Macaca fascicularis: one gene and its partners. The protein of the gene in region 5 purifies or fractionates together with the protein of the main gene of each other region. This does not show direct contact. Links are inferred from orthologs where the notes say so. Each region holds a gene or a part of one and is shown on either strand. Other genes may lie near its edges. The genes, in order: DHX9, CREB5, cyclic AMP-dependent transcription factor ATF-7, NFE2L2, JUN and COP1.

The links.
Region 1: the proteins of JUN (region 5) and DHX9 purify together in Homo sapiens (affinity purification with mass spectrometry; 3 studies listed by BioGRID and IntAct, with this or other methods). This does not show direct contact. The link is inferred for Macaca fascicularis from reciprocal best matches to the Homo sapiens genes JUN and DHX9.
Region 2: the proteins of JUN (region 5) and CREB5 purify together in Homo sapiens (affinity purification with mass spectrometry; 5 studies listed by BioGRID and IntAct, counting the BioPlex papers as one, with this or other methods). This does not show direct contact. The link is inferred for Macaca fascicularis from reciprocal best matches to the Homo sapiens genes JUN and CREB5.
Region 3: the proteins of JUN (region 5) and cyclic AMP-dependent transcription factor ATF-7 purify together in Homo sapiens (affinity purification with mass spectrometry; 3 studies listed by BioGRID and IntAct, with this or other methods). This does not show direct contact. The link is inferred for Macaca fascicularis from reciprocal best matches to the Homo sapiens genes JUN and ATF7.
Region 4: the proteins of JUN (region 5) and NFE2L2 purify together in Homo sapiens (affinity purification with western blotting; 4 studies listed by BioGRID and IntAct, with this or other methods). This does not show direct contact. The link is inferred for Macaca fascicularis from reciprocal best matches to the Homo sapiens genes JUN and NFE2L2.
Region 6: the proteins of JUN (region 5) and COP1 purify together in Homo sapiens (affinity purification with western blotting; 9 studies listed by BioGRID and IntAct, counting the BioPlex papers as one, with this or other methods). This does not show direct contact. The link is inferred for Macaca fascicularis from reciprocal best matches to the Homo sapiens genes JUN and COP1.

Annotation. Positions count from the first base shown.
Region 1 is NC_088375.1:40,389,638-40,394,193, reverse strand, and holds part of DHX9 (ATP-dependent RNA helicase A), read right to left. Parts: intron 3,066-4,556; coding exon 3,019-3,065; intron 1,534-3,018; coding exon 1,397-1,533; intron 1,087-1,396; coding exon 997-1,086; intron 911-996; coding exon 749-910; intron 607-748; coding exon 529-606; intron 1-528. UniProt on the Homo sapiens protein: Multifunctional ATP-dependent nucleic acid helicase that unwinds DNA and RNA in a 3' to 5' direction and that plays important roles in many processes, such as DNA replication, transcriptional activation, post-transcriptional RNA regulation, mRNA translation and RNA-mediated gene silencing.
Region 2 is NC_088377.1:101,860,220-101,865,228, forward strand, and holds the start of CREB5 (cyclic AMP-responsive element-binding protein 5), read right to left. Parts: upstream 3,391-5,009; 5' UTR 3,335-3,390; intron 1-3,334. UniProt on the Homo sapiens protein: Binds to the cAMP response element and activates transcription.
Region 3 is NC_088385.1:60,446,045-60,451,128, forward strand, and holds the start of cyclic AMP-dependent transcription factor ATF-7, read right to left. Parts: upstream 3,501-5,084; 5' UTR 3,397-3,500; intron 3,111-3,396; exon of another isoform or gene 3,065-3,110; intron 1,819-3,064; exon of another isoform or gene 1,766-1,818; intron 1-1,765. UniProt on the Homo sapiens protein: Stress-responsive chromatin regulator that plays a role in various biological processes including innate immunological memory, adipocyte differentiation or telomerase regulation.
Region 4 is NC_088386.1:72,799,328-72,804,489, forward strand, and holds the start of NFE2L2 (nuclear factor erythroid 2-related factor 2), read right to left. Parts: upstream 3,372-5,162; 5' UTR 3,204-3,371; coding exon 3,159-3,203; exon of another isoform or gene 2,030-3,158; intron 1-2,029.
Region 5 is NC_088375.1:175,917,557-175,922,714, forward strand, and holds JUN (transcription factor Jun), read left to right. Parts: upstream 1-1,867; 5' UTR 1,868-2,845; coding exon 2,846-3,850; 3' UTR 3,851-4,606; downstream 4,607-5,158. UniProt on the Homo sapiens protein: Transcription factor that recognizes and binds to the AP-1 consensus motif 5'-TGA[GC]TCA-3'.
Region 6 is NC_088375.1:33,515,981-33,520,536, forward strand, and holds the end of COP1 (E3 ubiquitin-protein ligase COP1), read right to left. Parts: intron 986-4,556; coding exon 857-985; 3' UTR 373-856; downstream 1-372. UniProt on the Homo sapiens protein: E3 ubiquitin-protein ligase that mediates ubiquitination and subsequent proteasomal degradation of target proteins.

The DNA of each region.
Region 1 (4,556 bases), about 140 Mb from region 5:
AGTGAGACTTTGTCTCGAGAAAACAAACAAACAAAAAAAACCAAACTTCCATCTCTTTTTTAGATTTCCATTGGCTTAGTGATAAAATGTTTTTTTTTTTTTTTCCCCAAAAAATTTCTCTAATAGAACTGCTTCTTTCCACTAAACTTCTGAAGAATGTATCTTTTGGTGTTGTCCAAAAACTAAATTTTCTCATTGTCCCTGAACATCGCACATGCACTCCTTCTAACATTTTAATTTTTTATTTGGAAAACACAAAGACAAACAACAACAAAAAACCCAACAACAAAAGGAGTTACTGCCCTGAATCTCTCCACTTTTATTAAATTACATTAAGAAGTGAAATTATCTCCCAGGCCCTCAACTCACAGCAACTAACTTCTGGGGTAACTAGGATTAAGCAGTTTGGTACATATCTTTTGATGTGCCCTCCTAAAAAGGGCAAAATGTATTATTCTTTGACTTTTTACCCAAACCTAGAATGTTCTGAAGCTCTGGGCACTACATGTCTAAATAATTCAGACTTACTGCTTGCAAATCATGATCCTGTTCCAACTGGTACATCAATTCATTCTTGAGGTCCATGCTTATTTGCTCTGGAGTAGCCTGTAAAACAAAAAGCCAACATGGTCAAACAAAGCATGTAATTCTGCTTCAAAATAAATCCATTTTTTACCTAGACATACTAATGAAGTATAGTCAAGAGTAAAACACAAGAGTCTCATCTCAAAAACAATATTACACTCACAAAAGCCAGAGGCCCCTCATCAATGTTGCTACTAGTCCAAGGATTCCAGTTGGATTGTGGAGGTGACCAAGGAACCACACCCACTTGGTTTTGTCGCTGAGATGGTTCAAATTGAGCCAATTTGCCAATGTTGAGTGCAACTGGCACAGAAGGATCTTCAGGCTATTAAAAAATAAGAAAAAAAAAATATGACTTGCTTGTCTACTGAGTGTTTTACACAAATGTGAACTAAATAGCTTTATGCTTACCGGGGGCAAAATCTCAAGGTTTAGCTCTTGAATGATGTTTTGCAGTTGATGCTCTAAATCTTGAGAGAGGTTTACTTTGTAAGGCTCCACCTACGGAAAAAGGATCACACATAACAACACTACTCAAATCTACTACAATGGGGCTAAGACTATACAGTCAATACTAAGTCTACAATATTCCTAAACCAACAGTCAGTTCCCTTTAGTGCAAGAACTACTTCAATGGTTATTTACTCACTGCCTATTATGAACATTATGCCAGACACAGAGATGATTAGCAGGACCATTTTCATTCCCTGAGGTAAGATTCCTTGAAATTAAACTTCTTTAGCCAAATACTAAACAAGAGCTAAATTGAATCCTACACTATCTCACAAGTCTATTAAATCTAAAGACTCACTGTCTCTCCTTCCTTCTTCTTTGTAAGTCCAGAGTAAGCTTCAACCACTCCAAGATGGTAGAGTTGTCTGACAAGTGACAGGGCACAGGACTGTGCTGCCAGTTTCTTATTTGATCCATGTTCTCGTGCAAAAATCCCTGTAATGTAAGGTCAGGATTACCAGAAAGAAATCACCTAAGTGAAGAAACATCACAAGAAACTATGGGTTTACGTACACAAGAAGCTCTCAAATACAGTGTATGCCATGGGTTCTAGCTAAACAAAAGAAATTGCCCAACAGCTTAGCAACTAAATAACCAACTGTTTTGGTTACGGGCTGATACTAGGACTCATACAAATCAATATTATGAAAGCAAATAATCTATTTCAACAAAGTTGTCACTGTTAAGATCATCGGGCATTAAAAAAGGGGAAGAAAACATAGTTTGAAAAGACAAAGAGTAAAAAATAAACCAGTAAAAGTAATTGGGTCCAGAGTGGTTAACTAGACCAGGATTTGGGAAACTTTTTCCATAAAGGGTCAAATAATAAATATTTTAGGCTTTGCAGGCCATAGAGTCTCTTGTCACAACTACTCAACTCTGCCTTTAATGTGTGAAAGCACTTACTGACAATAGAGTTTGACAAACCACAGGCCTGGGAATGGCTTTACGGTTTTCAGGATTTGTAAAAATAAAACGAAAATAACAACGTGTGACCTGTGAAGTCTAAAATATGAGTGTAGCTATGTTACACAATAAAACAGTTCTTATAAAAACAGGCAGTAAGTTGGATTTGGCCAGAGGGATATAGTTTGCTGACTTCAGCATTAAACTAAAGCTAAGTTACTCATATCCTTAAAGAAAATATTAATAGAAAGTTTCCTCTCCTCCAGTATCATTCAGCTTTAGGAGAGATGAATATAAAGCAAAGGGGTACAAAGATATCTTTCTGCCTAACTAGCCAAATTAACCTTGATAAGTGAGCTGACATAAGTTAGCCCGCCTTTATCCTCTCTCCCTTAGTATTACCCATCCACTCAAAATAACTCATTTTATATATAAAAATGAAAAAATGTTTTAAGGCCAGGCGCAGTGGCTCACCCCTGTAATCCCAGCACTTTGGGAGGCTGAGGCGGGCGGATCACAAGGTCAGGAGATCGAGACCATCTGGCTAACATGACGAAACCCTGTCCCTACTAAAAAATACAAAATAATTAGCTGGGCGTGGTGACTGGCGCCTGTAGTACCAGCTACTGGGGAGGCTGAGGCAGGAGAATGGGGTGAACCCGGGAGGCGGAGCTTGCAGTGAACCGAGATCACGCCACTGCACTCTAGCCTGGGCGACAGAGCAAGACTCCATTTCAAAAAAAAAAAAAAGTTTAAAATTCTTTGACGCTGGCAGATTCCTAATCATCTCACTGTGTCTTACTTTTGAAATACTACACTAACACGGTCTGTTTTCACATGCAAACTGGGAGACTTTGCCTCTACTTTATAATTACTAATATTCTAATATATACCCTAGATGCTATCTTATATCACGTGCTCTTTCAATAATACAGCTTCTGTATTTCAAGACTTAAATGTGAAGATTCCTTCTCTATACAAAGACTTGGAATATTGGGTAACAGTAACACTTACTTCTGCCCAGCTGCTTGATATAAATGGTCATTTCTGCAATAAAGCTCCTGTAACAACATATACAAGCAAGGTTAGAAATTTCACTGTTAGAAACTGGCAAATCCAGGTCTCCCAAGTCAGGCAGGCTTTCCAACTGCTTAGGCAAATCACAGAAAAAAAAAAAAATTACCAACATTTATTTCTGCCCAACCCTAGAACAAATGAAGTATATAAACTTCATATAATATACAACATGGCATAACACAACTATAATCAAAGTTGATGAGCCAATTGTTCATGAAAGGAAAACGTTAGGGTATTAGATTTTATATTTACTTACTCTTATTCCAAAGGCTGGAGTCTCAAGAGCTACAACACATTCCATGAAAAGGAATTTTCCACTTAGCTTGGAGCCAAGAAATAAAGCAGGCCCCAAATGTTTTACATTACAGTTATAATTATTGTAAGATTCCTTTGCATAGGCCACTCAGTAATGACTGCGATCTATTAAGCTAATATACGCAAACACACATGCACATACACTTTGTGCATAATCAATGGCTCCTGAGGCAGAGTTCTCACATCTGCCTGCAGTTGGAAGCAGCCCTGGATGACAAAAAACTTAGCCTATTTTTATCACATTTATTTAAATCAGGTCCTGGAGAATAAAACACATGTTGTAACATTACATCTAAAACTGCTAGCAGAGTCTAAAAAATGAATTTAGGTTTTAGTAAGGGAAAAACTGCCCTTTGAAAACTATGCATTCTGGTCCCTTCACTGCTCAGATACATTCTAACCTAGACTTGGTGGTGTGAATAAAAGGCTGGGTGAGGCTTAAGAAAAAAATAAATGTTAAGACTCCTTCCTATACCTCGTGTGAACTGACCTTCAGGCACAGCGGCTTCAGGGGTCAAAGGCCACTGGCTTTCAGGGGAACAACATCCACCCTTTCATTAATGACATCGATGCCAGTATGTTTCTCAGCCAGGCTTAAAGTCAGCACTCAATCTCATTCTCCTCCACCTAGGGGGAACAGCGACACCAGAAATCAGTTTACAATAGTTTCCCATGTGATTGCTTAGTTCAGCCTAAGCAGCAGCACATGTGTGTATGAACACAGACCTCTGGTGTTGCTGTCTGTTATGCCTTTAAATAAAAGGACATACAAAGAGCAATGCTGTCCTGGCTCCCCCAATTTCTGTGCCTCCCACATTGTCTTTTCCTGAATTCGTCACTGCTTTGTATCAGAAATCTATGGTAAGATACTGATAACAAAAAATGTCTGCAACGATGAGCTTCAGGCACACTTAGGTATCTTATTGTTCTTAAAGTCACCAAGTGCTACCAAGCCCAATCCGTTCAGAAAGACAAAATATGAAAGAAAACAAATCATCAACAAATGTATCACTCCTTTGCAACCTGAGGGTTTTAAAAGGCTGACACCAGAAATATTTGAGAATTCAGGATTGAACAAAACAGTGGGAGGAAGGGGGAACCATGCTCTAAATATCATTTTGATCAGTGACAAAATTTTGTATTAATAATAATTATTTCAG
Region 2 (5,009 bases), on a different chromosome or scaffold from region 5:
AAACTAGCTCTTAGTAAAAAGAACAGGTCTGGTATTTTACAATTACTTCTGCAACCCAGAGGTACCTCCTAGACTCTGGTACCTCCCTCGTTCTCTAAGTTTCTTTTAGTAATGAGACTAATTTTTCCAGTAGCCTTGAACTCCCTAGATTTAACTGACATGGAAAATGTGACTAAAAATTTGTAGAACTGTCTAGCCTCCAACCCTACACAGAATCAACTTTGTTGTAAATGTTGAAGAACACCTCGCAAGCAGCTACATGCTCAGTTTCTACTCCTGCACTACGCAGCAGAGAACACCAAATAACAGTGCGCCATCTAGTTAGCAAGCTGCAATCTCCATGCTAGAAGGGGGGACACTTTCAAACCCTGGGAGTTAAGAACTTGTCAGGGTTCAGCTGCTCTAAAGGTCCAATTGTTTATTTAAATAAAAAAAAAAATATCGCTACTGAGATAATCCACATCTAGTGGATATGGGAAAATTTAGGTTATAATGGCACTACAAACTTTTACATCTAACTTTGATTTACAAGATAAAAGCAAGTTTTAAATTAAAAGGGCTTTCTGTTAATAGAGCTTATTATTCTGAAGACGGGAATGATTTTCTTCGAAAGTTGTCCCTGGGTGCATGCCTATTATCTTTGCTTTTCCCCTTCCACTAATGAGCATTTATCTAAAGAGCCTGTTAATCCTCTGATGTGTGCTTCTGGTCAGAGGTAACAGTTTGAATAAAACCACTAATCACTGATCACTAAATCACTGATCATTAATCACACTTTCCAGTGCCCATGACTGGGCCATTTTTTTTTTCCTTTAAGTCTATGCATCACAAACAAGAAGTTCAACATTTTCGATGCACACATATTGTGTGGAGGTTACACTATTTCATCTCTAGATGTGAATAAATACTAAATCCTGCCACAAACTTGGGGAAGTATGTCAATTAGACCCCAGACAGGAGTTTCACAAATGTCTACCCTACAGCATGGCTTTCACTTTGAAGAAAGTAGATCTAATTATAAGAAAACATGTGTTCTTCAAGAAATTCCTCATATTGGCAATATAAATATTTCTTTATTTAGTTTTCACCAACTCCAAATCAGGAACCACTCCAATTCCCTCTCCCGCTCTATCCAAAACTCTGTTAATACTTTTATAATTTAATTTCTGCACATTTCCCTCCCCCACCCCCCCGCCAAGAGTTCTTTTTACTTTGATCCCTTGCAACAAGTCATACACAGGGTCTTTATTTCAACTGCCAGATACGGAGGTTCTGACTCAATTCAATGACTTACGTATTGAACTTCCTCTTTCAACATAGAAACTTAAGGTTAAAAGCTAGAAACTAACGCACACACCAATTTATTGTATGGAAGTTTAGGTTCAACAACTCATATTCCCTTACTTTGGAAATGAAACGTTTAGTCTTGATCCTTTCAGCTAAACCTGATTTTGTCAGCATCCTGGCTTCTTCGTCTTCCCTCTTCTGCTGAAGGGCAGGCACTACGTAAAGTGAAGTACTTTGTTTGCAGTGGGTGTATTGCCTTCCTAAGTCACCACCACGAGGACAGAGTATTATCATAACGCTTGGAAACATTTCCTGATTTGCCTTTTCTATCAGGACTAAGCATTTTCGCTCTAGAGGAGAAGGCTTGCTGGTGCCTTTCTTAAATAATACAAAAGGGCAGATTGCGCGCTGATCAGGTACAGTGGTCCCCTCAGACCCCAGAAGCTTTTACCCACACTCCAGGGACTGTGCTCGCTCCAGGGAAAGCTGTAAAAGGCGGGGCCGGGGCTAGAGTGATAACGGTGTAGACGGGGGAGTGGTGGAGAGGGAGGGGTTGGGAAGAGAGGGCAATAAAGATGCCTAGGGAGGGGGCGATTGCACGAGTGTGTTGTGAGGAGGGTAGGGGGATGCACAGCAGAGTTGCTTTGTCAGCATTCTAAGCTCCTGAACCCTTGAGGAGCTCAAGCCGTTAATCAAACACTTACTGGCCTGCAGAATGACGTAATGGACCTGTATCCAGCCTTTATTCCTTGACACATGTCAGAGAAGGAGGGAAAAATAAAAATCAAACACATTCTGCAGACTGACAACGAAACATACAAGTAGCCCGCTCCAGACCCCGGCCTTGAACAAGCATCAAGTGGGGGCGGCACCGGTCCAGGGAAAGTTGGGGACGGGGATGAGAGTGTGGACAAGGTCTGGGGCTTTATCTACTAGACGTCCCTTAAAAACAACTCTATGGCAAAGAAGTGGATGCAGCTGCTGAGAGAAAACATCTCCTTGGTTCCTTCCTTCGCATCTTGCCCCTCTAAGAACTTCACGAAAAGTTCAAGTGGTTCTGCCGAGAATCTGCCGCAGGGGGAGACTCCGCCGCCGGGTCCTGGGAATTGCCTGGGCGCCGCCAAGGCTCGAGCCGGAGCTGTCATTTGGGGCAGCGGCCGGGAAGAGGTAATGATGCCAGCGAGAAAGCAGCGGAGGCAGGAGGCGGCCGGAGGAGTGGACGGGAGCGGACGGAGCCTCGCCGCTCTCCAGCCCGGAGTGCCTGGAGCGAAAGCCAAGCGCCCTCCAAGGGCGACCTTCCCTCCCCGGGCGCGCGCCAACCCACTGCAGCCAGCAGCCCCAAGGGAGAAGTGGCAGCGGCAGCTCCGCACCGGGGAGAGCGAGCCCCCTGCGCGCGCGCCCACCCGCCCCCTAGGTGACCCGGAGTCCTCGCCGCGCCCGCTGGAAGTTTGCAAACTTTCTCCGGGGATTCCGCCGCCACGCTGGGAAGCTGGGGACGCGGGGGGAGGTTCCTGGCTCGCCGTCTCCGCTGCCGCTTGACCGCACTTCTGGAGGACTCCGCACCTTGCCAGGTCTCTGGAGGCAAACACACACCCCCGATTCATAACTGGTCCCCGCGTCAGGGGACTCGCGCGCTCCCACACACGCACGCACGCCGGGCGGACTCGGCGCCGGCTCCACGTTAGCATCCCTCCAGGCGCGCGGCGCGGCGGCCACCGAGCGCTCCGGCACTCACTCGGCGCGGGGTCTCTGGGGTGGCCTCAGGACACAGCCGAATTCCACAGTCTACCAGCACTCGGGGCCGGACTTCCCTCTGGTCCGCCAAAATGTTTACAAACACAGATCACCCTCCAGAAAAAAATGCATCGCATCTTCCCTACTCCTTGCCCTGTGACCTGCCCACTGGACCAAGTAACCTCGCGGCTGCTGCCGAGAACCAACCCCTGCAAACAAGTACGCTCCCGAGATGGCTCCCGCGGCAAGTGCAACAAAAGTGGCTAAATGCAAAAGCCCCAGAAGTGGCCGAGCCGTATTTTTAGGAACTTACCAAACAAGTGTGGAGAAGGCAAGAGCGGAGCCCGGGTGAAGGGACCACGTTGGACTGAGCAAAGATTACAATACATTCTATTTAGAGTGCATTACATCACCCCCCCGGTGACGTCACGTGGGATTCCTGAACTTCTAAATCATTGCGGTCCGCTGGGGAGGGACAGAGCGAGGGGCGGGGCCGGCGCGTCGAGGGGGCAGGCCCCACCCCGGCCCCGCCCAGACCCCGCCCCGCCCGCGCGGACCCTGGTGCACCCGCCGGGGAGCGGCAGCGGCGGGGGCGACTGCGCAAGCAACAGCTTGCAGAGCCCAGCGCCGTGTGACACGGCTCCCTGACATTAGTGGTGTGAGTCAGCTTGGAAACAATCCTTATGGTTTCAGACAGGACCACGGAGGAGGCGCGGGCGTGGGCTGTTCTGCGGGGAGGGCCTGATGGGGTTTGAAAGGTGTAGGGATGGGGGTTAGGGGAGAGGTGGGGAGGGGGATGCTGAAGGATGTGGGAAGAGGCTTTGCAAACAGAAATGCAGGACGCTCCTCCCTCCCCCAATGAGGATGTCCAGCTCCTTTTTGCTTGCGACAGTCATGACCTCATTTCAGTGTTCCCTGCATCCTGGCTTCTCAGAGCACTCACTTGTCACCCCTTCTTCACCGCCCCCCATCTCACCTCCTCCAGGAGAATAACTTCCTTATGGTGCACACTCTCATGAAATACACAGCCCCCACCCTTCGCGGGACCCCTGCTTCGTGCGTCTGAGAAGCTGTAGGGAGAGTTGCTCCTAAGGCGAAAGGTGAATCACAGCTAGAGCCAAGTGATGAGCCTGATTTAGACACGGCGTCAGAGCTGAAAGGGCCCTTGGCTGTCACTTCCAGAGCCTCTTCGGTAACTGGCCCAAGCTCACGGGCTGGGAAGCGGCAGAGCCAGGGCCAGACTGCAGGATCCGGGCGCCTGGTCTGCAGCGAGAGGAGCCTGGCGTCTCCAGCATCCGGCCGTCACCATCACTGTCACCATTCCCCTGCTGAATTTCCTTTCAGAAGTTCTCCCTTTGAGTAGGATTCAAAGAGAAGGCATAGACTAAATCCAGCCCGATTCTAGACGACCAGTGCCAACCTCGCAGCCCCTCACACCTTACAAAGCATTTGCAACCACGTGAATTCCCTTGTTTCTCACAACAACCCGGGTACCATAAGTAGGACAGGTATTATAATTATCCCCATTTTACAGGTGAGCTAAGGCAGACACCAGAAGGTTAGGGGGCTGGCCTGAGATCACTTGATGAGCAAGGGGTGGCACTGGGCCCACCTCAATCCCTGTTTTCAAGCCCAGATCCCAACTGGGCTCCTTCATAGAGCCAGGGGTAAACATTCCCTTCTTGTGGGTTATTGGTGGTTGGAACCTCTGCTAAGAACACATTGGCTGGGAGTTGGAGCTTTGCTTAGAAACAGTTTAGCCCCCGTTAATAAACAATAATCATTTCTGACATTTATGTAACATCTGACATTTATATAGTACCTCTCATCCCAACGCATCACAACCATGACGGTGCAGTTTGCCAGAGAATCATGACTGGACTGGCTAGAAACTGTAATACATTGCCTGGATTGTCACATACTTCTGAGCTGGTTTTGACATACTAAATGGAAGAGCTTAGCATGTTATTTCTGTTTTTAAGTGTTTA
Region 3 (5,084 bases), on a different chromosome or scaffold from region 5:
TGGGAGGACTGCTTGAGGCCAAGAGTCCTAGCTACTCAGGAAGCTAGGACTAGAAGATCTTTAGCCCAGGAGTTTGAGGTTACAATGATCTATGATCACATCACTTGCACTCCAACCTGGGCAACATAGCGAGACCCTATCCCTAAAAGAATGAAAGTGGTAAGTGTCATGAAATACTTGAAGACTACCATGTTAACAAGGAACTAGATTTATTTATTGTGGCGTCAGATAACAGAACTAAAGAGCTTCAGCACAACGTAAAAAATGTTATAAAAGTAAAGCTTCAATAATGGAACACGGTATCTGTGAAGTGGACACTTTCTCCTTAGAGCATTCAGAAGTTAAAAGACCAACCGTCAGCGATACCAGCTATGATATGTTTTCACATATCATGAATTTATTTGATCTCTCCTAAAAAAAAACCTCTTAGAGGAAGGCAACATGTCAAAATGAGTAAATGTCAGAGAAGCTTAAAAATTATTTTCTTTGACATATTTTTAAAGAGACAGAAGACTTTTTCATGAACTCCAAAACCATAGGACCATTTTCTGAGAAACCAACAACAAAAGAAATGAATGCTTTTTCCTTTTAAATGAATGCTGCATTTGTTTTTCTCAAAGAAACATCTGTACCTTAACTTTAGTACTTTTATCAAGGGATAAAGGACAATTACATACCAGTATGCCAACTAGTCTCAAGAAGACAGCTAGTTTTATTAGACATTTACATGGAGTTCTATCTGTTCCACCTAAAACTTCCTTGCAAGGAGAAGGCTCCTCCTTATCAGATGTGGATAGGAGGCTGCGGTAATACTAACTCCCTCCCACTGTAGCCTAGGAAAAACTCAGTCTTGACATGCACAAAACAATAACTTCTGAGAGCTTCAGAGCAGCTGTGTTCAGACAGAGCCAGCAACTTTACTCCAGGCAAAGAATTAGTCTAAGAGTTGGCTGAAAAAACAATTTTCATTTTAGGTTGGAAATGAGGAAAGGAAAGAGAACAAGATACAGTAAGTGGAGCTATTAACATTTTAAAACCGTGGTAAACAAACATGTTTAAAAATTACAACACTGAAACTACCACAGGGTGTAAACTTTGATCCACAAGTTGAAAGACGAGCGGTGTTATCACTCTAGCTCTCTGCTAGATGGTAACACTAGTGAGAAAAAATAATCTTGGGTTTAATAGTGCCCTAGTCAAAGCCAATCACCAAGTCTAGGACAGAAGACCAAAACAAGGGACTCTGCTTCTCTCACTGGGTATTTTTTTGTGCTGCTGCCAGGCAAACTGGAAATTTTCTGAATGTCCAATAGCAATGCTCTTACTGTGAAATACTAGAACCCAGCTCAGTAGTTAATGCTAAAGGGTCAGCAATGAATTGGTCTCAATGTGCTATAGGGGCAACTTCTTGGCCAGGGAGAAAAGTTTCAACTGATTGCAGAAAACCAAAGGTTAATACAACTACATACTCTGGTTTCTCTTCATATAATAGCTTTCCTGATATTTCGGACATTATTTCACTTCTCAAAAATAAAAGGAGAAGAGAAGGAATGTAAAAGCAAAATCTACGCAAGAGCAAAGAAGTTATTAATTGGCTGTATTAGTCCAATTCGTTATTAAATGATACACAACTATCAAAGGGCAAAGCCCTGACCCTCTTCTGTACAGAATTAAGAACTGGTAAGACTACTTAGTAGAGCTGCCAAACTTTTCTTTAGCTTCTTTTCTTACAGACATGATACATTTCGCAAGAGCCTCCACTTACCTTACAACTTCCATGTGTAGTACAAATTGTGTTTGATTTCCCCAGCCCTTGGCCTAAGACATTATGACATAGCTTTAGTTTCTGAGTCTGGACCCAAAGGAAAAAACTGAACATTTTTCACTTTCCTGAAATAACATGTCTATTTCATTTGCACCATTTAAAAACATATTATATAAGTTAACTAAAACTGCAACCACCCATTCGACAACTCTTTGAGAGTGACTGGGAAGCCACATTTAACAAAACAAACTTCATTGTAGCATTTCTGCTTAGAATGCCCATAAAGACTGATATCTCTACAAGAATTACACTACTGCAAAATTTTTAAACACAGGACTCATGTGAGCTTGCTGAGAAAACTGTGCACACCCCCCACACACCTGTACTTAATATGACATGACCCTCAGAGATACTAAAACACCCTCTGTTAAGTAGAAAATAAACTTTTAAAGTTAGGGAAGTAGCAACGCGGGAATCTGGGTAGGAGGTGCCCTGGGTTGTAAACACCCTAGTCAGAGAACATAACAAGCAATTCAGAGCAACATATAAGTCCCTATGGGGCTCCAACTTGGACTGCTTTAAGTCCAAAGCCCACATCTCGGTGTTTCGGAAGAGTTTGGGAAATAGAAGAGAGGGAGAAGGAAAATCAGAGAAGCGATGAAAGTGTTCTATTTTTCTCCTTCTCAACTCCCATCCCAGCATCTTGGAGGCTGGTCACCAGTCTGGGTGCCATAACCACGAGAAGCCCTAAATCAATATCCCAACCACCTGATACCTAGGCAAAAGACATGTGTATATCAGCCATCTCCTTCCCAAACACTTCTCTTATCGCTCTCAAGGCTCATATCCTTCCAGAAGCCATGCCTTATGGCGACTCAGCTCACCCATACTGTCCTCTTAAATTCATTCACTTAATTTTCTCCAAATCCATACTTTCTCTCTGACATCATGTCCCTGATGTTCTTTTTATTAATTCAATCGAAATGCCACGACCCTCATTTCCTATAATCCACCCCTATCTATCTTTCCTGATAAACCCAACGGGGTGTTGTGTCACCAGATCAAGATCTTTGTTCTCATCTACTCATCCTACCTCCTGCCTATTACCCTTTTCCAATTCCAAGCTCCTAATCCCACTCTTTGGGAAGTCCTGGGTTTCTAACCTAGTTTAGTATCCCTCCTCTTTCTCCCATTCCACCCCATCCCATGATCCTTCCATTAGGCTCCACTAGACTACCCTTCCCTCAGGATTCAATTCCCCTCTCCTTGCCACGCCCTGCGCCCCCCGGGGCTACTTACCCCAAGTTCTCCCCACACTTCAAGCCTCTGGCCCCGCCTTCCCCCCAAAGGAAGGAGGCGGGAGTAGGGAGAGAAGAGGGGCGGCACTCGGCAAGGAAAAAGCGATCTCCCATTAGCGCTCATCGCCGCCAATCGAGGCTTCCTTCTCTCCTATTGGTCGGCTTTGGCCTATGCCCCCACCCTCTTCCTCAGACAGGGCCCGGCCACCGCCTCAGCGCCCCCGTCCAATACAGACTGGGAGGGGAGACCCCAGCCCGGAACGCTGGGACTGGCCAGAGTTGAAAGGGAGAGTCCCGTCAGATCATGGGCTAGCTAATGTTAAAAGGACTTACCGGCTGGTAGCTCCGTTGCCTTCCGCCTGCCCGCGCTCGGTCCTACAATCTCTCTGCAGCTCCTCTTTTCCCCCCTCGGCGGAACGGATACTTTCCTCCCGTCCGGCCAGGCGCGCTCAACTCTCGCGAGAAGTCGTGGGGCCGCGGGGGAAGGGCGAGATCCGTGGGGGCTGAGTTGGAAAGCGGCCGAGAGGCGGGGCTCCGGGAAAAGAAGGTGTTGGGCTTACTGTGGGCAGGGCTGGGGAGGGAGACTGAGCGAGTACTGTCCACACGAGTCACACGTGTTCGGCTGCAGAATCTAGCGGGAGAAAGAAAGGAAAAAGGAGAGAAGATCTTTACCGGTGCCTGTAGTGGTGGTTACCACTATCTTTCAGAGTCATCGCTTCCTTAACTGCAAAGTAAAATAACCTTAGCCCTAGAAATGAAGTCCATGTGTGGACAAAGCAATCCACCTGCACAGCAATTCTAACACTACCATTTTACTAGTCCTATTGCCTTGGGTGAAAATCTTCTCTTAGTCTCTGTACAATGGGACTAACAATCTCATTTTATTCAAATTGTTGTAATGATCAAATGAGGTACATGAAATTGCTTGAGGATTTTTTTTAAATCACTGTATTATTCAGCAAATATTTTCACAAAACGTAGGGCATACTACATGCAAAGCATTGTTCTAAGCGTGGGGTTAAGGAGTTATCAACCCAGGTAGGATTTATATTTGAGTGAGGAAGGGGAGACAATTAAAAAGCCAATAAACACAAATATTTCAAATAGTGAAAAGTGCTTCAGGATAGTGAGACAGAAAGTTACTAGGAATGGGGAAGAAGCTTTACTCCTAGTGTTTGAAAGAAGACCTCTTTGAGGAAGTAACACACCAGGAGTTGAATTATGACTTGGGAAGATTTCAGGGGAATTATCAAATGCAAAGTCTATATTCAAAAATGTATAGGTCTTGTTCAAGACAAACCAGGAAAAGAAAAAAGAAAAACAAAAAACAGGCTGGTTGCAGTGACTCACGCCTGTAATCCCAACATTGCTAAACCAAGGCAAAAGGATTGCCTGAATCCAGGAATATGAAACCAGCCTGGGCAACATGGCGAAAACTCAGCTCTACAAAAAATACAAAATTAGCCGGGCATGGTGGCCTGCACTTGTAGTAGCTATTCAGGGGACTAAGTGGGAAGATCACTTGAGCCCAGATCAGGCCACTGCACTCCAGCCTGGGCAACAGAGTGAGATCCTGTCTCAATAAATAAATAAATAAAATAATCATCTTAAAATTTAACAAATTGTAGTTGACTTAAAATATTATCTACAGAATCTCTGTTCTCTCCTTTTGCAGCTTTATGTTACTTAGCTTTCTGAACTTTCTGTCTAGCATCTTATCTATCCTCACAGCACCCTCTGAGAGGTAGGAAGAATCTAGGTGATTTCTCCCTAGATATCTAAGGTGACACAGGTGTAGAAACACTTTCTTTCTTATGTAGTGAATTGAGAAAAGTTGAGAGGTGTCTTGGCTTCCAAACTACTCTCCCCTATAACAATTCCTACTTAAAAGAATACAATGATGGAAACATACCTTAAATTTGTAAGAAAAAATTGTATGTTGGCCGGGGGCGGTGGCTCAAGCCTGTAATCCCAGCACTTTGGGAGGCCGAGATGGGCGGATCACGAGGTCAGGAGATTGA
Region 4 (5,162 bases), on a different chromosome or scaffold from region 5:
TGCTAAATGGAAAAGCTGCAAACATCAATCTTTTACATTCCAGCCTCTCCTTCCCCCAGAATAGGCAAATCTCAACTTACTCACCTTCTGAAGTGTGAGTTTTTCTTCCTATTTAAAGTTTAAGGAGTTTTGGTAGTCTGGAAGTGGTGATTAGGAGCCCCCAGGAGTCAAACCTGTTTGAATGCTACCTTGGCCACTCAATAGTTTGGTCACCTTAGCAGGTCTTGGCCTTTCTCTGTGCCTCTTTCCTAACCTAATGCCTGATCTAACTATTATCTCTGGTTTTCCCAACCTGGAAACCAGGGATAATAGTATTTCCCGTGAGGTTACTGTAAAATTATGCATGTGAAGCAATTATGTTTGGACCCAGGGAAGTGCCCAGTAACTTATCTATTATTATCTTAGTGCCAAATTCTTCCTGCATACTGAAAAGATAACCCACGTTCAAGGAACAGTTAAGGAGGAAATACTGACACAAAACCCCCTTTTAATGTCTTCAGTCAGGACAGAGGAAATTCCCAGAAAAAAAAAATGTACTTGTTGTGTTCCTTTTTTTCACGCAGCTTTGTTAAACATGATTTATCCTCAATAGAAACAAATCTTAAGAAAAATGATGCATTTGGCTTTCAACTTTTCCTGGTAATCCTAAAGACAGAGTCGGTTTTCCCCCAACGTTGCTTATAACAACCCAGGGCAAGAAAGAAAGATTTCAAAATGGCCCAAGTTATTTTTAATGCGGAAAAGACTGATGTGAGTTATGCATTTATCCTCCTACATGCTGCTTCCACAACCTCTCAAGAGATTTTTCACATATCTAAAAAGTCAAGTTGGTCTTTGCTTAACATTCATTCAGGAGATGAGAGGCCTGTCCTATTTTTCTTTTGTTTGACTTAAACATAATCTCATCGGTCTATTTCAATATCAGCTTCATCCCTCATCCAGGAAAGTACTTTATCTCTCCAAGACACCCTTGAAAAGAGTAATGGATGTTCCTTCCACCTAATGGGGATACTGAATCTAAGGCTCTCCTTACTGCCCTGTTTATCAACACATCCTCTGCACAGAAGGTGAAAAACTACATCCTACTACCACTTCACACCTGGAGAGTTTTTTTGACAAAAGATCAAGAAAATGTTTGACTCAGTTCAAATCTTTATGGATGACAACAATCTAATATGAATCATAAACGAAATCAATTCTAAATTTTCTTGTTCTTTTTCTGTTTTCAAATATGCAAATCGATATCTGATTACAAAGGCAGAAAAGCAGTTATTTTTATCAAACGTAATTGAAAAATACACAATGCAGTACATATGTTTTATGCATTTTTGTATATGGAATGTTATATTACACAGCAAAGAAAGAAAAATTTAATAGAGGGTTGTAGACAATTTGGGAAATTAGAAAAACCAAAGTTCATTTTTATCATATATCCTTCGGTCAAACAAGCATTCCTATAGATAACTCTTGAACAGCAGCTATTAAATAAATCGTAAAGTACAATTTACTTCTTCCCTAGTTGGAACCAGAAGAATATAATCCCAATCAAGATTGGGGAAAAGTTCAAGACAACTTTAAAGGGGGAAAAAAAGGCACAATTAATACATTGTCTATAACTTAAAACTTTACAATAGATCTTTGGAATTAACCTAAGACTTTACATTTAACAGCATAAACGAATTTACCGTACATCAAGTACACGTTTCCTTGAATTCCAATTTTTTTCCTAAAATTCATTTACAAAAGAAATTAGAAATATAAATATCTACTTTTAAAGTTTCTACAAGGATGAGCTGAAACTTCTTTTCCCTTTTATAACAATTTACAGAAATTAGCATGTGTTTTGAAACGCAAGCGTTCCACTCTCTGCCCCTGCAAAAGAGGGTGGACATGTTAAGAAACTGAGGCAAATTCTCAACTGAAAAGGAAAAATATATAAAGTACTCAGGGAAGAAATAACAGCTGAAAGCAAAAAATTATTAACAAACTAAAAGCAATAGAAATTCTAATCTACACTCGCAACTCTTACCCTTGACAGCACAGAAGAGAATCTCCTGTCTTACACATTTTGGAATTGCAATTCTGAAACGCTAAATCCAAAGACAAAGCCGCTCTGGGGAAAATAACAATTGCGCAACAGATCAACAGCTCCAACTTGTCCCTTGGCCCTGGCGCGGCGAGGTTTGCACGCTATAAAGCAGGAAAGGGCCAACCGAGGGCTGCTGTGACGGCCAACAGACCGCTGTCACAGAGGCCAAAGCCACGCGCGCGGTGCGCGCCACCAGGGGGCACAGCGTCCGAACTAGACGCCCCGGGTGCCGCCGACTCCGGCCTCAGAGTCCGCTGCCCTCGCCCGCACTTTCCCGCGGCGTTGCGAGAGGCCAACTCCGGGTGCCCGGGCCCGAACCCCTCCCCGGCCGAGAAAGTGCGCGGGGCCCGGCTCAGCCGCCACACGTCGGGGCTTCTGGGCCCGCTGGGCACTTCAGGCGCTCCTCCCTCGTCCCGGGGTTGAGCTTTCAAGAAAGCTCAAGGCTGCCAGAGAGTGATCCGACAGATGGATGACTTCGCAAAGCAGCGCCCACAGACGGCCCAGCGGGGTGAGCGCGCCGCAGCCCGCACACACGGAGGTCTTGGGGCGCGGCGAAGGGGCTCTGGGTCCCAGCCCGAAGGCGACCTCAGTTCCCCCGAGAGTGGCCCCGTGACTAGGCACATTTTTGCCGGCTCTGAGGCGGGGGAGCCGCGCAGCCCCGGAAGGGCCGGGCCGCGCCGGCTCAGACGGCCAGCGTCCGCCCCCTCTTGCCCCGCTGCCCGCCGGGCCGCTCAAACTTAGGGGCTCCGAAGCCCAGCTCTGGGGACCGGGGACGCGGCTGGATTCGCCCACCACTGCCCACGCCCGCGGGCTCAGTCCCCAGACCTTCCCGCAACTTCCCACCCGTTCGCCCTCGGGCTCGTGGTCGGTCGGACCACCCGGCCGCGTCCCCGCTGCCCCTCCCCACCCTGCCCCAGCGCAAGCGCGGCGGCTCCAGCCAGCGCTGCGGTCCTGGCTCTGACCGGACGTGGAGGAAGCCGGCTGCGGCTATCCCTCCCGGGCCGCGGTTCCCTAGCTCCCCCGCCCCCGTCCCGGCACCACCGCAGGGCCCAGAGGGCCGAGGCAGCACCTGCTGGGACGGGAGTCCCGGCGGCGGCAGCTCCAACTCCATCATGCTGAGCTGGGGACCGTGTGTTGGGGCTCCCCGACGGCGGCCCCGTTCCGGCTGCCAAGGCGCGGCGCGGACAGGGCGGCTCTGGTGGCGGCAGCGGCGTCGGTGGCTCCTCCGGGCTCCCCGGCACTCGCTGATCGGCGACACGCCGGCGGGCCCCTGCCCCGCTCCGCCTCCCGCCCCAGAAGGGCGGGGCAAGAGCCTGGGCCCTTCCTTCCCCCGCCGGCCGCGCGGGCTGAGCTTCCGAAAATCCCCCACCCGCGCCTGGGCTGACGCAAGAAGCTCGCGGTCCGGGGGCGGGAAGGGACTGCCAGCTGGGGTCCCAGCAGGCGGGGGATCGAGAGGAGGCCACAGTTAGCGCCCCGGTGCCGGCGTTCAGTTGCCCTCCCCCGCAAATAAGGGCAGCGCTCTAGCCCGCGAGATAAAGAGTTATTTGCGAAGGTCGCTGGAGTTCGGACGCTTTGAAACAGTTTAAACAGTTGGAACAAACACACCCGGAGCCCCGGAAAGGCGTTGGTGTAGGAGCTGCGCCTCCCTGATTTGGAGTTACAGAACCTTGCCCTGCTTTTATCTCACTTTACCGCCCGAGAGTGGCGCCAGCCGGGGTGGGGGGCTAAAGGTTTGGACCCAGGCCGTGCCACTGCCAACTGCCCTCCCGCCCTTGCTCCCCTCCCGGGCTGGGGGCAGTGGGCCCTGCCCAGGGGAGATGTGGACAGCGCCGGGAGCTCGTGTTCGCAGTCACCCTGAACGCTCTCCTCTGAACTCCCACGTGTCTCCGTCAAGGGCAAACGGAGAAGTCCCTTTAGGTCGGAGAGTGGTCAGTATTGCCTACCCAGAGCTGGGAGAAAAACGGGAACCGCAAGAGAACTTCTTCCCACTAAAGCACAGCCACCACGCCACAGATGGCGCCCTTCAACAGTGTGTAATACCACAACATGCTATGATCTTTTAATCTTTACAAATTTCTTTTTCACGTACTCACAAAATAGTACAAATTTTAAAAAGTTACAAAAACGTTTGTATAGTATTGGCTCATTTTATAAAAACATGTGCCCAGAAAAAAATTGAAGGATAGTTACCAATATATTAAATGCTGTGGAATCAATGATTTTTATCTTTTTCCTTGCTACTTCCAAGTATGCTTTAAATCTGCAATGCGTATGTGTTATGTCTTACATTAAAAACAATTATTTAAACATTAATTATTGCCCAGAGAAAACTTCAAGTATTTGAAACCAGGAATATTGTGAACCTTATACGGGTTCAAAGAGGATAGATAAATGGTTTGGTTTTGTTTTTTTCTTTCCTCTTACGCATTTACAGTCTTTCTAACTCTTTAACAAGACTGGTTTTCAGTTTCTACCTTCCTGGAATTATTCAGAACCAGGTGAAGTAGATAATACTGGCAGTGGTTTTACTATTTCATTCAAAAACCACACACACACACACCCCTGACTATAGCGATCAACGCCCAAAAAACTGCAGAGCTTACTTTCTCTCTGTTGCATAATTTGACACTCCCAGGATTTATGTGTAAATTTGTATATTCAGATATTCCTTGAGATAAGTGAAGCCTACATTAATTACTTGTAATTGAAGCAAGCTTCTTCAATTCCTATTAATTCCTTTCAGCTGTTATGTGAAAACCCTGCAACATTATCTGCACAATGAAAACAAGTTAGGAGAAATTGTTTGCAAAGGACCTCACATGAAAGATGCAGAGACATAATAATAAAATAACATTTCTGAGTCCAAGAGAAAGACAAGAGTAAATTGTTAACAATTCAAGTTACTTATTAAAATTACGACATCAGAGAAGGTAGACAATGAACCTAGCCGGTAGGAGATACCAGAGTCATATGACACGGTTACTTCTCTAAAGGAGTTTATAATTTGGTGTTTCCTTGTTAAGCCACAAAATTTCCATTGAGTTTAGACTGAATGAAATAACCTTCACTTTTC
Region 5 (5,158 bases):
GCTGCTGTTGGTTTCTGAACACTCAAAGCCGCAAATACCTTAGGGCTGGGGGCAATGAACCCTAGGCTGAATTCCAAGTTCAGAAACAGTGAGGTCTGAATTTAGAACCTAGGAACTTAAACTGCTGCAGGTCCAACTTCAAGCCCCAGTTCTAGACAGAGGCTTGGGAAAGAGCTGACTTCTAACCCTGTTCCCCCTCCCCTCCTCCCCTCGAAGCTTCTCACAGGAAAGTACACCTGGTCCTGCCAAATCGCACTCTTATATCCTGGCATCCTATCCAGGCTCTGCGAGGATGGAAACCGCGAGGCAGGGGAGGGAAGCGAGCTGTTTGGCCACCACCTCCCTAGTGCTGCAGGCGACCCTGTCACACTAACTCCCGGCAGCCCGGTGATGTGGACGGCACCGGCCCCACCTGCAGATGAGGGTAATGAAGCTCAGAGGAGTTCCGTGATTTGCTCGCTTCACACTGTTGCAGCCTGGCCACGAAAGAACAAGCATTCCCGACTTCGGGATTCTTTCCACCACACACTTTCGTCCCTAAGGGGTGGGGGGCGGGGGGAAGATAAAATAACAACCGCGGAAAAGGAACCACTTACATGTGTCTAGCGCTTCCTAGAGGCTACTCAGGATATGGGCCCACCACCCGGCCGGGAAGGTGGAGATTTGAAGTCCAGGTTCTACCCCGGGCTCCTGAGTTCTACTGCGTTACTTTATGCGAGTGTCCCCCGCCTTCTGAGCTTGTTTTCCCGGAAGCAACTCGGCGCGGGTGGAGAGTGTGTGCGTGTGTGTGTGTGTGTGTGCGCGCGCGCGCATGTTGTGCGTGTTGTGTTAAGCGTGTGTGTGTTGTCCGGGGGCGGGAAGGGGAGTAGACTAACACCGGGGTTCCCCGAGTTTCGGATCGCCTACACGCTTGTTCCCATCTGGACCCTGTTACCCACTAATTGCGCCCACTATAAAAACTGCCCCTCGGAGGCAAAGCTGTGATCCCCCGCGCCCTTTCCCCCACGGTCCCGGAGGATGAAGTGGGGTGCAACGGAGACTCAGCTGAGCGTCCAGTTTTGGGCAATACAAATCTCTCAGCTTCTAAGAGCAGCCAGACAACCCCGCGGACCATCGCTCCTGAACTTGACCGAGATGCAAACTTCGCAGCGTTTCTCAACGTGGGGGGCCGACTCTCGGGAGACCGCCCCCAAACTTAAGCCCCCTTAGGCTCGCCCCCAACTGGGACTTCACAGAGCCACCTTAAGGGCGGCGCTCCCGCCCCCCGGAAGTGCGGGGGGGCGGCGGACCTGGACTCTCAGCCTCCCGCCCCGCGCGGTGGCGGACGCCGGTGGATGACTTCGAGCCCCACAAGTGGGGAAACACAACCACCCCTCGCCCGCACCCTTGACCCAAAACAACTGGCCGGGTTCCCTGGCCTCCCGGGTCCCCGCATCCCCTGCATCCCAGTCCGCAGCCGTGAACTTGAGCCCCCTCCGTCAGATGTTGCGAGCGTCCGCCCGCTCGCGGCAGCCACCGTCACTAGACAGTCAAACCCCAAGACGTCAGCCCACAATGCACCGGGCGGGCCGGGAAAAACGGCCCGGGGAGGGGACCGGGGAAGAGAGGGCCGAGAGGCGTGCGGCAGGGGGGAGGGTAGGAGAAAGAAGGGCCCGACTGTAGGAGGGCAGCGGAGCATTACCTCATCCCGTGAGCCTCCGCGGGCCCAGAGAAGAATCTTCTAGGGTGGAGTCTCCATGGTGACGGGCGGGCCCGCCCCCCTGAGAGCGACGCGAGCCAATGGGAAGGCCTTGGGGTGACATCATGGGCTATTTTTAGGGGTTGACTGGTAGCAGATAAGTGTTGAGCTCGAGCTGGATAAGGGCTCAGAGTTGCACTGAGTGTGGCTGAAGCAGCGAGGCGGGAGTGGAGGTGCGCGGACTCAGGCAGGCAGACAGACACAACCAGCCAGCCAGGACGGCAGTATAGTCCGAACTGCAAATCTTATTTTCTTTTCCACCTTCTCTCCAACTGCCCAGAGCTAGCGCCTGTGGCTCCCGGGCTGGTGTTACGAGGAGTGCCCAGAGAGCCTGGTCTCCAGCCGCCCCCAGGAGGAGAGCCCTGCTGCCCAGGCGCTGTTGACAGCGGTGGCGAGCAGCGGTACCCACGCGCCCGCCGGGGGAAGTCGGCGAGCGACTGCAGCAGCAAAGAACTTTCTCGGCCCGGAGGGCCGGAGACAACTGGCCCAGAGTCCCGGAGCGAACTTTTGCAAGCCTTTCCTGCGTCTTAGGCTATTCGGCGGCGGTAAAGACCAGGAGGCGGCGGACAGCCACGCAAAAGAAGAAGGACGTGCGCTCAGCTTCGCTCGCACCGGTTGCTGAACTTGGGCGAGCGCGAGCCGCGGCTGCCGGGCGCCCCCTCCCCCTCGCAGCGGAGGAGGGGACAAGTCGTCGGAGTCTGGGCGGCCGAGACCCGCCGCTGGTCGGCCTCTGCGGGTCGGCACTGATCCGCGCCGCCGGGAGAGCCGCTGCTCTGGGAAGCGAGTTCGCCCGCGGACTCCAAGGAACGGCGGCGCCCGAAGAGCGCTCAGTGAGTGACCGCGACTTTTCAAAGCCGGGTAGCGCGCGCGCGAGTCGACAAGTAAGAGTGCGGGAGGCATCTTAATTAACCCTGCGCTCCCTGGAGCGAGCTGGTGAGGAGGGCGCAGCGGGGACGACAACCAGCGGGTGCGCGCGCTCTTAGAGAAACTTTCCCTGCCAAAGGCCCCGGGGGGCACGGGTGTCCCCCGCTTGCCAGAGCGCTGTTGCGGCCCCGAAACTTCAGCACGCAGCCCAAACTAACCTCACGTGAAGTGACGGACTGTTCTATGACTGCAAAGATGGAAACGACCTTCTATGATGATGCCCTCAACGCCTCGTTCCTCCCGTCCGAGAGCGGAGCTTATGGCTACAGTAACCCCAAGATCCTGAAACAGAGCATGACCCTGAACCTGGCCGACCCAGTGGGGAGCCTGAAGCCGCACCTCCGCGCCAAGAACTCGGACCTCCTCACCTCGCCCGACGTGGGGCTGCTCAAGCTGGCGTCGCCCGAGCTGGAGCGCCTGATAATCCAGTCCAGCAACGGGCACATCACCACCACGCCGACCCCCACCCAGTTCCTGTGCCCCAAGAACGTGACAGACGAGCAGGAGGGCTTCGCCGAGGGCTTCGTGCGCGCCCTGGCCGAACTGCACAGCCAGAACACGCTGCCCAGCGTCACGTCAGCGGCGCAGCCGGTCAGCGGGGCGGGCATGGTAGCTCCAGCGGTAGCCTCGGTGGCAGGGGGCAGCGGCAGCGGAGGCTTCAGCGCCAGCCTGCACAGCGAGCCGCCCGTCTACGCCAACCTCAGCAACTTCAACCCAGGCGCGCTGAGCAGCGGCGGCGGGGCGCCCTCCTACGGCGCGGCCGGCCTGGCCTTTCCCGCGCAACCCCAGCAGCAGCAGCCGCCGCCGCAGCCGCCGCACCACCTGCCCCAGCAGATGCCCGTGCAGCACCCGCGGCTGCAAGCCCTGAAGGAGGAGCCTCAGACAGTGCCCGAGATGCCTGGCGAGACGCCGCCCCTGTCCCCCATTGACATGGAGTCCCAGGAGCGGATCAAGGCGGAGAGGAAGCGTATGAGGAACCGCATTGCTGCCTCCAAGTGCCGAAAAAGGAAGCTGGAGAGAATCGCCCGGCTGGAGGAAAAAGTGAAAACCTTGAAAGCTCAGAACTCGGAGCTGGCGTCCACGGCCAACATGCTCAGGGAACAGGTGGCACAGCTTAAACAGAAAGTCATGAACCACGTTAACAGTGGGTGCCAACTCATGCTAACGCAGCAGTTGCAAACATTTTGAAGAGAGACTGTTGGGGGCTGAGGGGCAACGGAGAAAAAAAATAACACAGAGAGACAGACTTGAAAACTTGACAAGTTGCGACGGAGAGAAAAAAGAAGTGTCCGAGAACTAAAGCCAAGGGTATCCAAGTTGGACTGGGTTGCGTCCTGACGGCGCCCCCAGTGTGCACGAGTGGGAAGGACTTGGCGCGCCCTCCCTTGGCGTGGAGCCAGGGAGCGGCCGCCTGCGGGCTGCCCCGCTTTGCGGACGGGCTGTCCCCGCGCGGACGGAACGTTGGACTTTTCGTTAACATTGACCAAGAACTGCATGGACCTAACATTCGATCTCATTCAGTATTAAAGGGGGGAGGGGGAGGGGGTTACAAACTGCAATAGAGACTGTAGATTGCTTCTGTAGTACTCATTAAGAACACAAAGCGGGGGGGAGGGCTGGGGAGGGGCGGCAGGAGGGAGGTTTGTGAGAGCGAGGCTGAGCCTACAGATGAACTCTTTCTGGCCTGCCTTCGTTAACTGTGTATGTACATATATATATTTTTTAATTTGATGAAAGCTGATTACTGTCAATAAACAGCTTCATGCCTTTGTAAGTTATTTCTTGTTTGTTTGTTTGGGTGTCCTGCCCAGTGTTGTTTGTAAATAAGAGATTTGGAGCACTCTGAGTTTACCATTTGTAATAAAGTATATAATTTTTTTATGTTTTGTTTCTGAAAATTCCAGAAAGGATATTTAAGAAAATACAATAAACTATTGAAAAGTACTCCCCTAACCTCTTTTCTGCATCATCTATAGATACTAGCTATCTAGGTGGAGTTGAAAGAGTTAAGAATGTCAATTAAAATCACTCTCAGTGCTTCTTACTATCAAGCAGTAAAAACTGTTCTCTATTAGACTTTAGAAATAAATGTTCCTGATGTACCTGCTTCTATGGTCAGGTTATACTCTTCTTCCCCCAGCTATCTATATGGAATTGCTTACCAAAGGATAGTGCGATGTTTCAGGAGGCTGGAGGAAGGGGGGGAGTGTGTTGCAGTGGAGAGGGACAGCCCACTGGGAAGTCAAACATTTCAAAGTTTGGGATTGTATCAAGTGGCATGTGCTGTGACCATTTATAATGTTAGTAGAAATTTAACAATAGATGCTTATTCTCAAAGCAGGAATTGGTGGCAGATTTTACAAAAGATGTATCCTTCCAATTTGGAATCTTCTCTTTGACAATTCCTAGATTAAAAGATGGCCTTTGCTTATGAATATTTATAACAGCATTCTTGTCACAATAAATGTATTCAAATACCAATAACAGATCTTGAAT
Region 6 (4,556 bases), about 140 Mb from region 5:
GACTTTTCAAATAGAGAAACTGGCTGCCTAAAAAAGGAGACTACCATGTAAATCAGTGCAGTTCTTTTGCGTTAAGTTTGCTCATCTCACCTCTGTAGAATAATGTTTAGGCTGGGATTTGCTGCCTTGGCTGATGGGTCATTCTCCATTTATGATGAGTCTAAGGAAGCTATGGCAAAATTAATGCTAAGTGGCAGGAGAAACACACACATTTTGTTAAAAAACTTTCAATATTTCTACCAAATAAGCAGAGAATATGTGGAAAAAACAGGTACTCAACCAAAATGGTGTTTTGTTTAGAAAGTTCACTGCTTATCTCAGGATTTATTTATCCAGTGTATCATGTACAAGTGCTATATATGCATCAATCAATTTTCTTTCTTTTTGTTTTATGGCTAGGCTTCCTTGAATCACATCTATCAATTTTCAACTGAACACTAAAATAACTTGTCCCCCCCCTTTGACAACTGAGGAAAAACCTACTTTTTAGGGAACAGAAGAAAGAGAACCATGAGGAAGAGAATAAAATAAGACTAACATATGTTTAAATCTGGTGATGTGTAAGCATCTTCTGCTATATCTTGCATCTCCTGCTATGTTTTGGGTTCTGTCTACTGAAAGCCCTGTGGGATAGTTGTACTGGCATAACAGAAGCTAAACTGTGCTTAGCCCCCAGTGAATGTTCACTAGTCTTTATCTGTTTTTCAAACTGACCATCTATTAATCCATCTAGCATCCATACAACTTCAACAAGCACTATCATCTTCTCCACAGATGCAAGCTACCTATTCTTTTTCCTTAAATCAAGCCATTTGCCAGGAGACAGAGACCCATGATTTGGGATGATCGCTAAGACTCAGTACAATGGTATATTTCCATAATCCTGTTTCAGTCTAAAAATGGTCCTGAGTTTAAAATGGAGATACAGTAAATAGCTTACCTTAATTGTACCCTGACTGTTAGCAGCAATCAGCACATTGGACTCCTAGAAAAGAATAAGAGCTTTTAAAGTATAGAGAAGGAATTCCTGGAAAGCAATCCAAGAGATAATTTCCTCTTCATCCTTCTTTCTTCACTTCCTAAGACAACTGAATCTAATATGAAGATACAATTTTTTTTTTTTTTTTTTGAGATGGAGCCTTGCTCTGTCACCCAGGCTGGAGTGCAATGGCATGATCTCAGCTCACCGCAACCTCCACCTCCCGGGTTCAAGTGATTCTCCTGCCTCCGCCTCCTGAGTAGCTGGGATTACAGGCATGCGCTACCAGCCTGGGTAATTTTTGTATTTTTAGTAGAGATGGGGGTTTCTCCATGTCAGTCAGGCTGGTCTCGAACTCCCAACCTCAAGTGATCTGCCCACCTCGGCCTCCCAAAGTGCTGGGATTACAGGCGTGAGTCACCATGCCCAGCCGAAGAAACAATTTTAACATGTTTTTAACTACATTTTAAACTTAAGACCCCATATTTTGAGGAGTAAGTTTTGATTAAAAGAATAAAAAGTTAGAAGCAGAGTAGGACATTTTTGAATGTAAACAAAAATAAAAGGGAAAAAGATTGTCAATGGAAGAAAAGCCAAAAGAAACCAAGACTGAAATAGAATGAAAAAAAGAGTAAGTTGAGAAAAACAAAGTGAATAATTGCTTCCCCAGAACACTTCTTCTTAATTCATTTTCTCTCATAAAATACCAGTAATTGATGTAAAACCTGCCAACATCCTTGGCACAAATCTCTATGGATGGACATTTGGTATTAGGAAAACAAGAAAATGTGAATATTCATTTGGGAAAAAGGGCTATCTTTCTTTTTAATTAGTCTATCATTCAGCACATGCATTTTTAATAAACTTGGTGATTACCTGGATGAGAATATATGTGTTGAAGTATTTTTCTACTCTAAGCCAAGGAAAAAACATTTATCTGGAAATTAGGAAGGGTGGGAAAAAAAATGGACATGACTGACTTTACTAGAGAGAATCTCAGAAAGTAGGAAGAGTGGAGACATGCCTCCTGTAGGAAACTGGGCATCTAACAGGGCTCTGCAACTTTGACGTGTTGGAGTCTTTTGCTTTCCATGGTAGGCAGCTAAGAGGAGGTAAACAGACTTAAACTTCCATAGAGGTCAGGCCAGGTGGCAGAGAGAAAAATGAAGTCCAAATAACAGCTATGAGAAACAGATAAAGTGGTCTAACTTGAATGAAGGATAGGATCTACCTAAATATCCTTCAGGCTTCCTGACAAAGCAATACTAAGAAGAAAGAAAACTCTTGGCTTGTATGTTAGAAAAGTTACTTCAGCTAAGCTGAGTTAAACTTTAGTTTCTTTGACATATGCAAGTTGTGCTTTACAAACTCATATATTTCCATTTTTAAAATTTCCCTTTCATTTCGAATAAAGCCGCTCTTCAAAAATGTGCATCATGTTACTAATGGCATACAAGAAAATAATAATGTCCTCCACTACTGCAGAATTTTTAATGGAATCAGAATACTCCTTGGAATTAGTCAGTAGCATCAAATATTATAGGTTTATCAAGAAGAAATAAAGACATATGGGCATGGGAATTGTTGATCTTTTCCTAGCTGAGGATTTTCCTTAAATCAGCAGCACATGTTCTTAAAAATTGTAACATGGGGGCCGGGCATCGTGACTCGTGCCTGTAACCCCAGCACTTCGGGAGGCAGAGGTGGGCAGACCACGAGGTCAGAAAGAAGACTGAGACCATCCTGGCTAATATGGTGAAACCCCATCTCTACTAAAATACAAAAAACTAGCTGGGCGTGGTGACATGTGCCTGTAATCCCAGCTAGGCAGGAGGCTGAGGCAGGGGAATTGCTTGAACCCAGGAGGCGGAGGTTGCAGTGAGCTGAGATTGCACCACTGCACTCCAGCCTGGCGATAGAGCAAGGCTCTGTCTCAAAAGAAAAAAAAAAAGGAACATGGGTAATACAATACTCACTATTAGAATTAATTTAAACATAAACTTTGGAATATTATGGGCTATTTCTGGGACTTGATGTATACAGAATCAACACTTCCATATTCAGGGTGGGGAGTTGGAGTGAGGGGAAAGGAAGATAAATTTGGGATTTATTTACTCTTTTAGTGACTTGAATGTAGAAAGTGGTTGGAGTAGGTTTTGGATATCCTTTAGGAACATAATAACTTACCCTGAGTTGGTCAAGAGACAGCATTTCTATGCTGGCCTCAGAAAACAGCAGAAAGAGGCACTGTGTGGTGCAATATGGATTTCTTTCTAGCAAGAATTTTAAACAAGTTGTATGGTATCAGAACTGCCACTGGTGACCCAGAAATAATTCTCCTGTAAACATCATCCAGAAAAGCAGTTGAAAATCTCACTGATCAACCTAGTTGCCATTCAAGGAGGGGAAAGACTCTGGTCTGCAAGAAAGCGACTGCCAAGAGCCACCACCACTAAATGCTGCAGCCATCATGAACTGCTCCCTCTGCTATGAGAATGACAAGACAACGAAAAATTTAAAGCCGAAAGCTCCATCTCTTTCTGCCATTTTGGGTCTAGTCACCTTTTAATATAGAGAAGGAATGCAGAGAGACCTGGTGAAGATGAGGATTCACTTGGGGATAAGCAGGGAGTCTACTTCTGGCAGTTATAGGGATTATAAATTACATAATTAAAACTTCTGACTTCTGACGGGAGGAAAACTAGGAAAAGTATAGTATATTATCTTACAGTATGGAAAATTAGGCCCAGTACAAATAAGATAATCTAGTTGGATTACCACACAAGAGGAGTTTAAAATATGTACAATTACCACTCTAAACCCAAGAAGGAAGACATCTGATAACTATCCAACATGAATAAACACTGTCTTATTGTTAACCTCAGGATTACTATGGCATTAATATATGATGTCATATTAGATGCTATCCAAGGGTTAACTCTTAACACTATTTCCTGCAGAAACAGATAATACTTTATGTGTTAAAAAAAAAAAAAGTCAACATATGAATTGAATGCCAGTTTGAATGGTCTTTTAGGACTAAAATTTAATGAAAGAAAAATAATGGCTTCATATCTCAATACATCCCCTCTCCCCAAAGGCAATATGATTACAAAAAAGTTATTTAGAATTAAACTATCAGATAGCTAGATATTGGCTTAAGATAAATTTTTTTTTTTTTTTGCATGCAACAGAAAAATAAAACCAGGTATTTTATTTCTAGCATAGAGATCTGGAAGTGGTACATACAAGGTTATTAATGTAAGTTTTTAATGATTCTTGATTGCATTTTGGATGACTGGTAATTCCTAGTTGTAGCTGTGGTCTGTTAGAGCCTAGTATAAATAAGTTCTACCTCAACAGGTAATTTTTAACTTGCTAAATAAGAGTGCCAGTTAGTAATTCTTATTATTTTCTCCCTCTTTTTTGGGAACCAGCAGTTTTACTGCAGAACTCTCCTCAAGGCTAAGCTAATAAAATATCCAATATTTTTTCTGACTATGAAGAGACTAAGAAAAGACAACAGAAAAATTAGCAAGTCTTTTATAAAGACAGGAGACATATAAACATGCACCAA